Macaca fascicularis: one gene and its partners. The protein of the gene in region 1 interacts with the protein of each later gene in a pairwise test. Links are inferred from orthologs where the notes say so. Each region holds a gene or a part of one and is shown on either strand. Other genes may lie near its edges.

Evidence for each region. The genes of interacting proteins can lie anywhere in the genome.
Region 2: the proteins of GOLGA2 (region 1) and RAB39B interact in binary tests that used the Homo sapiens proteins (3 or more experiments, as listed by UniProt). The two-hybrid records come from large-scale screens. The link is inferred for Macaca fascicularis from reciprocal best matches to the Homo sapiens genes GOLGA2 and RAB39B.
Region 3: the proteins of GOLGA2 (region 1) and MFAP1 interact in binary tests that used the Homo sapiens proteins (3 or more experiments, as listed by UniProt). The two-hybrid records come from large-scale screens. The link is inferred for Macaca fascicularis from reciprocal best matches to the Homo sapiens genes GOLGA2 and MFAP1.

Annotation. Positions count from the first base shown.
Region 1 is NC_088389.1:15,716,318-15,719,843, reverse strand, and holds part of GOLGA2 (golgin subfamily A member 2), read right to left. Parts: intron 3,386-3,526; coding exon 3,335-3,385; intron 3,247-3,334; coding exon 3,153-3,246; intron 3,057-3,152; coding exon 2,950-3,056; intron 127-2,949; coding exon 68-126; intron 1-67. UniProt on the Homo sapiens protein: Peripheral membrane component of the cis-Golgi stack that acts as a membrane skeleton that maintains the structure of the Golgi apparatus, and as a vesicle thether that facilitates vesicle fusion to the Golgi membrane.
Region 2 is NC_088395.1:161,375,248-161,379,375, forward strand, and holds the start of RAB39B (ras-related protein Rab-39B), read right to left. Parts: upstream 2,820-4,128; 5' UTR 2,620-2,819; coding exon 2,405-2,619; intron 1-2,404. UniProt on the Homo sapiens protein: The small GTPases Rab are key regulators of intracellular membrane trafficking, from the formation of transport vesicles to their fusion with membranes.
Region 3 is NC_088381.1:20,408,766-20,413,049, forward strand, and holds the start of MFAP1 (microfibrillar-associated protein 1), read right to left. Parts: upstream 2,820-4,284; 5' UTR 2,702-2,819; coding exon 2,623-2,701; intron 1-2,622. UniProt on the Homo sapiens protein: Involved in pre-mRNA splicing as a component of the spliceosome.

The sequences.
Region 1 (3,526 bases):
CCACCTCCCAGCACACCACCCATGCTAAGGGCCCCCAGACCTCCCATCCCACCATCCCCCGTCCTACGTGTTCTTGTATAACTCCAGCCTGAGGGCATCTCTCTCTTTGGTTAACTCCTTGTTGTACTGTAAACACAGAAAGGTTAAGTCAGGATATAGCAGGCAGAGGAGCAGCTGGCCGACCAGTAACAATAGCTACAGTAACTACTCCACAGTAACACTTCTTCACTCTCAATCACGCTTGACATGTTTTCAAGGCATTTCCAAGCCCACGGTCTCATTTTGTTGTTGTTGTTGTTGTTTTTGAGACAGAGTCTCGCTCTGTCACCCAGGCTGAAGTGCAGTGGTGAGATCTCAGCTCACAACCTCCGCCTCCCAGGTCCAAGTGACTCTCCTGCCTCAGCCTCCTGAGTAGTTGGGACTACAGGCACACGCCACCATGTCCGGCTAATTTGTTTTTGTTTTTGTTTTTCTGAGACGGAGTCTCACTCTGTCACCCAGGCTGGAGTGCAGTGGCGCCATCTCTGCTCAATGCAAGCTCTGCCTCCCAGGTTCACGCCATTCTCCTGCCTCAGCCTCCTAAGTAGCTGGGACTACAGGTGCCTGCCACCATACCTGGCTAATTTTTTTGTATTTTTAGTAGAGACGGGGTTTCACCATGTTAGCCAGGATGGTCTCGATCTCCTGACCTTGTGATCCACCCATCTCAGCCTCCCAAAGTACTGGGATAACAGGCGTGAGCTACCACGCCCAGCCTAATTTTTGTATTTTTAGTAGAGATGGGGTTTCACCATGTTGGCCCGGCTGGTCTTGAACTCCTGACCTCAAGTGATCCACCCGCCTCAACCTTCTAAAGTGTTGGAATTACAGGTGTGAGCCACCGTGCCCAGCTGGTCTCATTTGTTTTTAAAAGAACTTGGTAAGGGTGGCCGGGCGCGGTGGCTCACACCTGTAATCCCAGCATTTTGGGAGGCCAAGGTGGGTGGATCACGAGGTCAGAAGATCGAGACCATCCTGGCTAACACGGTGAAACCCCATCTCTACTTAAAAAAAAAAATACAAAAAGTTAGCCGGGCGTGGTGGCGGGTGCCTGTAATCCCAGCTACTTGGGAGGCTGAGGCAGGAGAATGGAGTGAACCCGGGAGACAGAGCTTGCAGTAAGCCAAGATGGCACCACTGCACTCCAGCCTGGGTGACAGAGTGAGACTCCGTCTCAAAAAAAAAAAAAAAAAAAGGCCGGGCGCAGTGGCTCACGCCTGTAATCCCAGCACTTTGGGAGGCCAAGACTGGCGGATCACGAGGTCAGGAGATCGAGACCATCCTGGCTAACACGGTGAAACCCCGTCTCTACCAAAAAAATATCAAAAACTAGCCGAGTGTGGTGGCAGGCGCCTGTAGTCCCAGCTACTTGGGAGGCTGAGGCAGGAGAATGGCCTAAATCCGGGAGGCGGAGCTTGCAGCGAGCTGAGATCCGGCCACTGCACTCCAGCCTGGGCAACAGAGCGAGACTCCGTCTCCAAAAAAAAAAAAATACAGAGCTTGGTAAGAGTGAAAGGGACAGGAAAAGACAGTGAATTTATGTATGTATGTATATATGTATTTATTTGAGATGGAGTCTCCCTCTGTCACCCAGGCTGAAATGCAATGGTGCCATCTTGGCTCACTGCAACCTCTGCCTCCCGGGGTCATGTGATTCTCCTACCTCAGGCTCCTGAGTACCTAGGATTACAGGCATGCACCACCACACCTGGCTAATTTTTGTATATTTATTTATTTATTTAGAAACGGAGTCTCCCTCTGTCACCCAGGCTGGAGGGCAGTGGTGTGATCTCGGCTCACTGCAACTTCCGCCCCCGGGTTCAAGCAATTCTCCTACCTCAGCCTCCCAAGTAGCTGGGATTACAGGCACCTGCCACCACACCTGGCTAATTTTTTGTATTTTTAGTAGAGACAGGGTTTTGCCATGTTGGTCAGGCTGGTCTCAAACCCCTGACCTCAGTTGACCTGCCCACCTCGGCCTCCCAAAGTGCTGGGATTACAGCTATAAGCCACCACACCTGGCCAAGATCGAATTTACAGCTGGCTAACAGAGGCCCAGAGAGATCAGATAATATTGCTATTGTTATTATCATTATTACTACCACTGTTTGAACCTTTATTGAGTGTTTCACCAGGCACCATGCTAATAATCCCATTTAATCCTCATAATCACCACATGAGACAGCTCACTGCAATATTATTACCTCTATTTTGTAGATGAAAAATATGTAGTATTAGAGGTTAAGTGTTTGCCTAAGATCACTTAGACAGAGCTGGGATTTGAATAGCCAGGTATATCTGACTCTCTAAGTTCATTTGTTCCCTGGGGGTGGGGGCACAGATAGGAAGAGGGAAATTAATCTTTTGTTCAATTTTTGAAAGGATCATACATTCGCATAGTCCAAAACTCTGAAGGTACAGAAGGGAAATATCTTCCAGCCATGCTGCTCCTCTCTCCTGAGTTTTTTATGAATCCTTGCAGACATGTTTTATGTATATTGTCACAGTACATATGTACAGACACACGGACACACACACAGACACACACACACACGTTCCCTCTCTCTACACAAATGGTAACATACTAAAGATACTCTTCTGTACCTTCACAGAACAAATACCACATTCCCCAACCTAGGACTTGGCCAAGGCCACAGCCAGGTAAGGGCAGGGCGGGCACTTGGCCTCTGAGCTCTGTGTCCAGTGTTCACTCCTCACAGTGCCCCCCCACCCACCCACAGCAGCTGACTCAGCCCCAGGATGCCTCTAACAACCACACACAAAAGCAGTGACAAATGGCCCATGCTGCCTTCTGGGCAGGACACTCAACCCTGCAGAAGAGACCTTTAGGCTCACTCCTCCACCTGGGAAGCCAGGCTGCCAGGGTTCGGGGCAGGCAGTTGGACTCACCCTGTCTGCTTTCTTCTGCTGCGTGGAGACAGCAGAGAGAGCCCGCTCCAACTCTCCCACACGCCTCCGGGAATACTGCAGGCGACTGGCCAGATCTTCGGACTCTCCTGGAATGAGAGAGGTTGAGATGGGGTCCAAAGGACTCACCCTAAAGGCCTGTCAAAGTGCCAGGTTGAAGGATGATGGGGTGCCCAGATTCCCACCTTCTTTCTGCCTGGCAGCATGCTGAGTGTGAGCCAGGGCTGTCTGTAACTCAGCTTTCTCTGATACGAGGATCCCTATGGTCTGAATGTGAACCTTTGGGAGGAAACCCAAGCAAGTGCTGAAAAAGAAGGAAAGAAACATTCTCCAGAGGACAGGGCGGAACTTCACCCCCTCCACTCACCTGTAACTGCTCCCTTAGGGCTCCCTGCTTTTGGTGGCATTCTTTCTTTTCCTACAGGAAGAGGAAGACAGAGCTCTTACTAGGGGGAGGCAGAGATGGCACAGCAAGGGACATGCCCCCAGAATGCCACCAATGCCCCAGGACCGGCCCACCCATGGGACCAGGTTATCAGGGACCCTGTGGGGATGGGGT
Region 2 (4,128 bases), on another chromosome or scaffold:
TGACAAAATAGGATACCTAAGTCACAGTGTCACCATGAGGCAAAATGAAACAATGGATATTAAAGTGTTCTGTGACGTGGAGAGTTCATTACAAATGCTAGTAGTTGAAACAGGATTTTTAAAACATAGAAATGAATTTATGATAGTTAACAAAATATTTAAAGTAGGTATCTTGCTATATATTCCATTTTTTCCATTTATCATTACCATGTTTTTCTCTTTCCATTATTATTATTATTAATTATTATTATTATTAGCTAACAGGGATCCTCAATCTCTTCTGTGAGGAGAAACACAATTTTATTTTTTATTTTCCAGGCCTGTGGGAATGGAAAAAGAAAGATGGTGAAGGGTTCAGGCAAAGTGCCTCCCAGCCCTATTTCCTGACACATTTCAGAGAGGCCAACTCAGGAGCCATCAGATGAAACTTCACATGTTTTAACTTCTTGACTTGAGGAGCCTCATTATAAATATACATTATGGCACTTTGCTTACAGTGTATTAAAGCTTATTACAGGGTATAGACCTATTTGTCTCTGCAATCACTTGCTTTAGACTACTGTGATTTTTAAAATCTATGTCTATTTTTAGGTTTTCTGTCTCCTCAGATAAAGAAGATAGACAATGAAGGAATCAATAGCTTAGGGAAAATGGCCCAGTGTTAACAGAACAAGCATTGTCCAGGGACCTACAGTCCAAGCTAGATGATGGTAAAAGTAAAACTTACAAATGAGTTTAAGTCTCCAGAATCAGGCAAATCAGCCCTGGGGACTGAAAGCATTTCTTGTCTCTTAGGTTTGAATATTCATGGAGAATGGTAGATTTACCAGAAAATTAGACATGAACAAACAAAGGTTTTGATTTGTGAAAAGCTTGATTCAAGAAATCAATTGTTTGTGAGTACTTAGCAAAGAAAGTGACAAAGGCCTTCTAAGCATGGACATAAGGCTACATAAACCTTAAATTCCTCCCTACATTAAAAAATCTTAAATAATGTGAAAAGACAAATGATAAACTAGGAATATATGTTACAACATACATGACAGGAAAGCGTTAATATTCTTAATCTATAAAGTACTCTTACAAGTCCATACTGCCCAATAAATAATAAGCAGTGGATGTGAACAGGCTGTTCATATAGAAAGAAATTCCAACAAACGCATAAAAGATACCTTTCTTTGCTTAGGAGAAATGTAATCACAAGTTCAAAGTGAACCTGTACAAGGATATTTTCCACAGTGTTGTTTGTGGAAGTGAGGAGCTGGAGGCAACTTAAGTTTGTAATTATTTCTCCTTACCACTCTTCAATTATCCAACCCGTATCTTCTATGGTTAGTTAGTTTTCAATAGATAAATGAGCAAATGATCATAAACTTGGGCTATTGAGTTTTCTTGATCTGGTTCCTGCTGCTCTACTTTAGTTCAAATTGTTCCCTGCAAAGTTTTCTGTGTACACTCTGTTCCCTCTCACTTCTGTCTTTATTCATCCTGTTTCCTATCCCTGGGCGTTTCCTGTCTTTGCTTGGGCAGTCATACTCATCCGGTCTCATCTTCTCCAGTTAACCTTTCCTCCTCTGTGTTCATACATATAATTACAAATAATACATGCTACAAAAGAAAAGCAAAGGGTTTTGAGTGAAAGTAAACATATTCATTGATTATTCAATGAATTCATTGAAATTAAGCATATTCATTATGTGCCAAGTGTTACAGTAAGGAGTGGGCATACAAATATGAGCAAGACACATTTTTGTAATTGCTGATTATCTATTATTTCCCTCAACTATGTTAGCACAGAAGTTCCAAGAGTGAAGGGGCTTTGTCTGTTTTGATTACATGGCATCCCCTTGTATGAGTTTCCTCACACTGTTTTCCCAGAAACAAGCCCGGAGTCTGGCACATAGTAGATGATCACTGAATGTGTGCTGGTTGCAAGAAGGAATCAATCTTATGTATTTCCTTTATGTTAGAACATATGTTAGCATATATATGTGCACACACACAGATATGGAAATAAAACATAATACACATGTATTTATGTATCTAAATCTCTGTCAGTTATGTTAGGATGACCTGGGAACATTTTTGAAAGTACGTAACATAGGGACTGAGATTGATGAATTACAGATACAGAAATCAATTCCAGCTAGTTTATTAGCCACCAAGGGGCAGGTTGGTGGAGTTGTGGTGCAAGCAATATGTGTTATTGACCGGCCTTCCCTGCCAGGGCGCTTCTTTCCTTGCACTGCTCCGGGTTAGCCAAAGGTGGGCTTCGGTAGACTCCCCAAGACCCTTAGTGTTGCCCTCCTGGACCGCGACTAGGACCAGGAAGTTCTCTCTCCCCAGAGGCTGTGCAAACCCCGAAGACCCTCCCACTGCTTGCGGGCCCGGACTGCGCTCCCACCTGAACCTCTCTTGACCCGCGGTATCCCAGATCTGGAGCTTGATGCGTTTTCCCGGCTCGATCTCCACCAAGCGGGAGAAAAAATCCACCCCCACGGTGGGGTCAGAAACCTGGGCAAAGCGACCCTCGGTGAAGCGGCGGATCAGGCAGGACTTGCCCACTGTGGAATCCCCGATGACAATGAGCCGGAACTGGTACAGCCAGATGGCCTCCATGGCCGCGGCTCTGCAGGTCTCCTTGGCTCGGACCCGGGACGGCGGGAGGGGGCGCCCCGCCGACGCCTCAGAGAGCGCGGCTCGGCAGGATCTAGCTCAGCCGCGAGCGCATCGCTGACCTGGGAACCCGAAGCTGGGTAGGCCCAGGCGCCCGGATAGCGGAGGGATGGATGCTGCGCTTGCAAAGGTGATGAAATGGCAGCAGCATCAGCACCACGCACTCTGACTCATCACTGACAACCGGGTTACTGTAATCCCCAGCGTAGATGCGACGCCTGGGCCGCCGCACTGTCTGTAAGAGGAGCGCACACAAAATGGCTGCAAAATTAGCGCGTTCCCTCCCTTTCTAATTACCCCACCCACCCTCTGTTAATTAAAAATGTTTTCTGTCGTTCAGACTGCAAATGTCATACCTTTTCATTGAAACTAGCAAAGCAATACAAAACTACTCAAGAAAGGGAAGGTACATAATTATATATTAGTCTACAAGTGTTTCCATGCTCACGTAAACACACAAATATTATATGTGTTTGTATTCCCATATACATTTATTGCTGTTTGTTTTTACAAAAATTAAACTGAGGCCTTACTTTCAATTAATAATTGCTTTCTGCAGTTAATAAAGCATCATAAATATCTTTCCATTTCCACCTAATTTCCCTTTTGTCATAACAATGCTGCAGTAAAGATTCTTTAAAGTGTAGTCACACGTATTTTATTTCTATGAGCTAGAGTCTTAAAAGAGAGGCCATGAATTCAAAGAGTATGAGTACTTTAAATTTAATGGACATGGCCATTCTACCTTTCAAAACTAGCAGTTTAAACTCTACCCAACAATGTGTGAAAAGGTCATTGCTCTGCATTATTTCAAGCATCATATGTATGTTTTATTCTTTCTTAATTCTTGTCAATAGAATGTAGTTAAATAAAAATATGTCTCATTGCTTTATTTTACATTTCTCTGACTACTGATGAGGTCAATAACAAGTCTTGTGTATTGACCACTTCATTTCCTCTTCTGGGAATTGTCTCTTCATATCCTTTGTATTTTTTGTGTGTAATCTTTTATCGTTGCCTTACTCTTTAAAAAACTCAGCCTTATTAACATGGAAATTCACATACTGCACAATTCACCCATTTAAAGTGAAAAATTCTTAGCATAGATTTTTAATATACTCACAGATATGTACAACTATCACCACGGTTAATTTTAGAACATTTTTATCACTTCAAAAAATAACCCAGAACCTTTTAGCTATCGTCTCTCTATCCCATGTTCCTCCAGCCTTTGGCAACCATTAATGTACTTTCTGTCTCTATAAATTTCTCTATTCTGAACATTTCATATACGTGTTATCACATAATATGTGCATTTTTGTGACTAGCTGCTTTCACTTAGCATAATGTTTTCAAGGTTCATTCACACTATAGCTAGTATCAGTACTTCATTCCTTTTTGTGGCTGAATACTATTCCATTGTATGGATAGACCACATCTTGTTTATCCATT
Region 3 (4,284 bases), on another chromosome or scaffold:
ATATTTACACTCCTTACTGGACTGTAAGCTTCCTAACTTATAATCTGTCTTGTATAAGTGTGTATTGAATTCAATTTAATATATACAAACACTCAGAAGATAGAAAACCTTTACAATACGAGTATCTGTGATCTCAGTGCAGGGAAGGATTATTTTTTAAACGATATACCAAAAAACAAGCTAAAACTATAAAAGATCAAGTTGATAAATCTCACGCCTGTAACCCCAGCACTTTGTGAGGCCCAGGCGGGCGGATCACCTGAGGTCAGGAGTTTGAGACCACCCTGACCAACATGGAGAAGTCCCATCTGTACTAAAAATATAAAATCAGCTGGGTATGGTGGCCCATGCCTGTAATCCCAGCTACTCAGGAGGCTGAGGCAGGAGAATCGCTTGAACTCGGGAGGAGGAGGTTACAGTGAGCCGAGATGGTGCCATTGCACTCCAGCCTGGGCAACAAGAGTGAAAAAAAAAAAAAACAAAAAAGCCCAGCATCACTAGTAATCAGGGGAATGCAAATTAGAATAATGACATACCATTTCAACACCTGTCAGATTGGGCAAAAAATGTAAAAATTTGGTATAACCAAGTCTGTAGATGATGAATATATGGGAAATAAAGCTCTTAGGTTCTCTTTTTTTTTTTTTTTTTTTGAGACGGAGTCTCGCTGTGTCTCCCAGGCTGGAGTGCAGTGGCCTGATCTTGGCTCACTGCAAGCTCCGCCTCCCGGGTTCACGCCATTCTCCCGCCTCAGCCTCCCAAGTAGCTGAGACTACAGGCGCCCGCCACCACGCCCGGCTAGTTTTTTGTATTTTTAGTAGAGACGGGGTTTCACCATGTTAGCCAGGATAGTCTCGATCTCCTGACCTCGTGATCCACCCGCCTCGGCCTCCCAAAGTGCTGGGATTACAGGCTTGAGCCACCGCGCCCGGCCAAGCTCTTAGGTTCTCGAAGTTTGTTTTCCTTCTTTTCTTTTTTGAGATGGAGTCTTGCTGTGTTGGTCAGGCTGGAGTGCAGTGGCGTGATCTTAGCTCATTGCAACTTCTGCCTCCCAGGTTCAAGTGATTCTCCTGTCTCAGCCTTCCAAGCAGCTGGAATTACAGGCGTGTGCCATCACACCCGGCTAATTTTTGTATTTTTAGTAGAGACAGGGTTTCACCATGTTGGCCAGGCTAATCTTGAACTCCTGACCTCAGGTGATCCACCTGCCTCAGCCTCCCAAAGTGCTGGGATTACAGGCGTGAGCCACCAAGCTGGGCCTTAATTTTTAATTTTTTCTGTAGAGATGGGGGGGGCTTGCTATGTTGCTCAAGCTGGTCTTGAACTCCTGGCCTCAAGTGAGCCTCCTGCCTCAGCCTCCCAAAGTGCTGGGATTACAGGTGTGAGCCACTGTGCTCCACAAATTCTTATGTTCTTACAACTTACTTTGAGGAGCAATTGGCAGCAGGTACTAAATAATGCTAGTATTGGCTACAGAATGACAAATGCAGAACTGTTTTTTTTTTTCCTTTTTTGACACAGAGTCTCACACTGTGGCCCAGGCGGGAGGGCAATGGTGTGATCTCTGCTCACTGCGACCTCCACCTCCCGGGTTCAAGCAATTCTCCTGTCTCAGATTCCTAAGTAGTTGGGATTACAGGCACCCACCATCATACATGGCTAATTTTTTATATTTTTATTAGAGACGGGGTTTCACCATGTTGACCAGGCTGGTCTCGAACTCCTGACCTCAGGTGTTCTGCCCGCCTCAGCCTCCCAAAGTGCTGGGTTTACGGGCAGGAGACACCATGCCTGGCCGCAGCACTTTTTTAAACAACCGGACAACCACCTGCCCCTCAATAGGGAATAAACTGTGGATTACACTTTATTTTATACAATGGAATTCATAAGCTGTTAAGATGAATGAATTAGATGTATAGGGATTAAAAGATAATTCTTAAAAGCCATGTTGAGACTAGACACGGTGGCGTCTACTTGGGAGGCTGAGGCAGGAGGATAGCCTGAGCCCCAGGAGTTCGAGTCCAGCCTGGGCAGCATAAGTAGACTTCTACGGACAGCAAAAAAGGGACCGTATCCCGCACAAAGCCCTGCCAACAAGCAGTCTCTATCTATCTATCTAGTCTGATATTATGTATATATTCTGCTATATTCTGCTATATACTTAAGTTCCTAATTATTAGATTTATATATACTTAGTTCCTTAGTAATTATTAGACTAACAATACATATATTCTAGTATTTATATGTAATTAGTGATATTATATTCTAATCATTATATATATTAGAACAAAATCATATTCTAGAATACATGTATTAAACATATATATTCTGATATATACTTAATTTCCTAAGTAACGAATATTTTAATATATGTAATATACATTATATATATGTAACACAAGTCTAAGGAATTTGTGGAGGCTAAGAGAGGTGCTTGCTGAATATGAAAGCAGGCCACAGGAACAAGATTGGATGCAAGGGGATGGGGGTGGAAAGGTCCAAGAATCTGGGAGCCAGATCTTAAGAGCTGGAGGGGTTGGAGTGGTGTGTCCCAGAGGTCTGGAGGTTGCTGGGGCCGAAAGGGGTTAAAATTCGACTGGGAAGAGGGTGTCAGCACCGTACCTTTCTCATTGCGAACTGGGACGGCCCCAGCCGTAGACTGAATGGGCGGTTGCTTCATGAGAGCGCTTGGGACCGACATGTTGATGGCAGCGACGGTGATTCCCGAAACTTGACTAATTCCAAACAGTGAACACCAACAACGTCAACGAAGAGAAGAAATTCCTTCCACCTAAATCCACGAACACAGCGGCGCGACTGATAGAGAAACTACTTACGGCTGAGCTAGATAAACCGGAAATACGTGACGAGAGGATTGTGGGATGGTGGAGGACGTTTGGGCGCCCACAGCTAGGACGTTGAGTGTGTTTCTGCGCATGCTCATCGGCTGCCCGCGTGTTCTCTACGTTGCAGAATTTGGAAGCTGCTTTTGGAGGGAAATTTTGCTTCCTTTGGGCTTTGCTGTTAGGACCCTGCGGTGAGGAAGGTTCGAATGAAAGATTTTACGTGTTAGCTTGGTTTGAAGCCAAGAACGGTATAGTGAATAAGAAACTCAGGCGACAGTGAGTTACTGTTTGTCTGGCTTGTTGAAAGCTCAGAAGAAGTAGAGTTTGATGGAATAAAAATCTTGCCAGTAGTATCCGATTAGCTCAGTTCAAGAGGCCAGGGTGGGCTGTGGTGCAGTATTTGGTGTCACAGGGCGGGTGGTGCTGATTTAGGCCAGTGACCAAAAAAAAAAAAAAAAAAAAAAAAAATCTCTTAAGGTGCCTGGGACATTACCTGCCTGAAATCCCAAAACTCCACTTCTAGGCTTTCAGGTTTTTCCAGTTTCTGGAAAATACCTATTAGAATATATTCCTGATTGGAAAACGTTTGTATTTAAATATCTAAGTAATTATTATTATTTTGAGACAGGGTCTTCTTCTGTCACCCAGGCTGGAGTGTGGTGGCTCGATGTTGGCCTACTGCAGTCTCCACCTCCCGGGTTTAAGCGATTCTCGTGCCTCAGCCTTCTGAGTAGCTGGGATTACAGGTGCCCACCACCACGCCCTGCTGATTTTTGTATTTTTAGTAGAGATGAGGTTTGACCATGTTGGCCAGGCCCAAGAGATCATCCCACTCCGGCCTCCCACAGTGCTGAGTGGTGGCGTGTGCCACCACTCCCGGCTAATTTTTGTATTTTTAGTAGAGGTGGGGTTTCACCATGTTGCCCAGGCTGGTCTTGAACTCCTGACCTCAGATGATCCACCTACCTTGGCCTCCCCAAAGTGCTGGGACTACAGATGTAAGCCACGGCGGCCGGCCTATTTAAGAACTCTTTAAGGACTTACAGGATAATAACAGAAGCAGCGCCAATTTACAAGCTGGGTTGTGTTAAAAAAAAAAAAAATATATATATATATATGTATATATGCTAATTGGAAAGTCAGAGCACATTTCACATTAGAAAGGACTTTATAACTGCGGAGGAGACAAGGGACAGCAGGAACAAAGTTCTGAAGTCCAGAAACAGTATACATTATACAGGACACCATGAAAAGTTTGGTTTTATCAGTAATTTTTGAGTCATGGAGGGCCTTGAAGTTGCTGTTAATGTGATTAACCCAAATTACTTCACCTGTGTTCTACAACTGGGCCTTGAGTGGGAGAAGAAATGAAACTGGACAAGTCTCAGGCAAGAACAGTGTGGGACCCAATTAAGAAACTAAGGAAACAGTTTTGGGT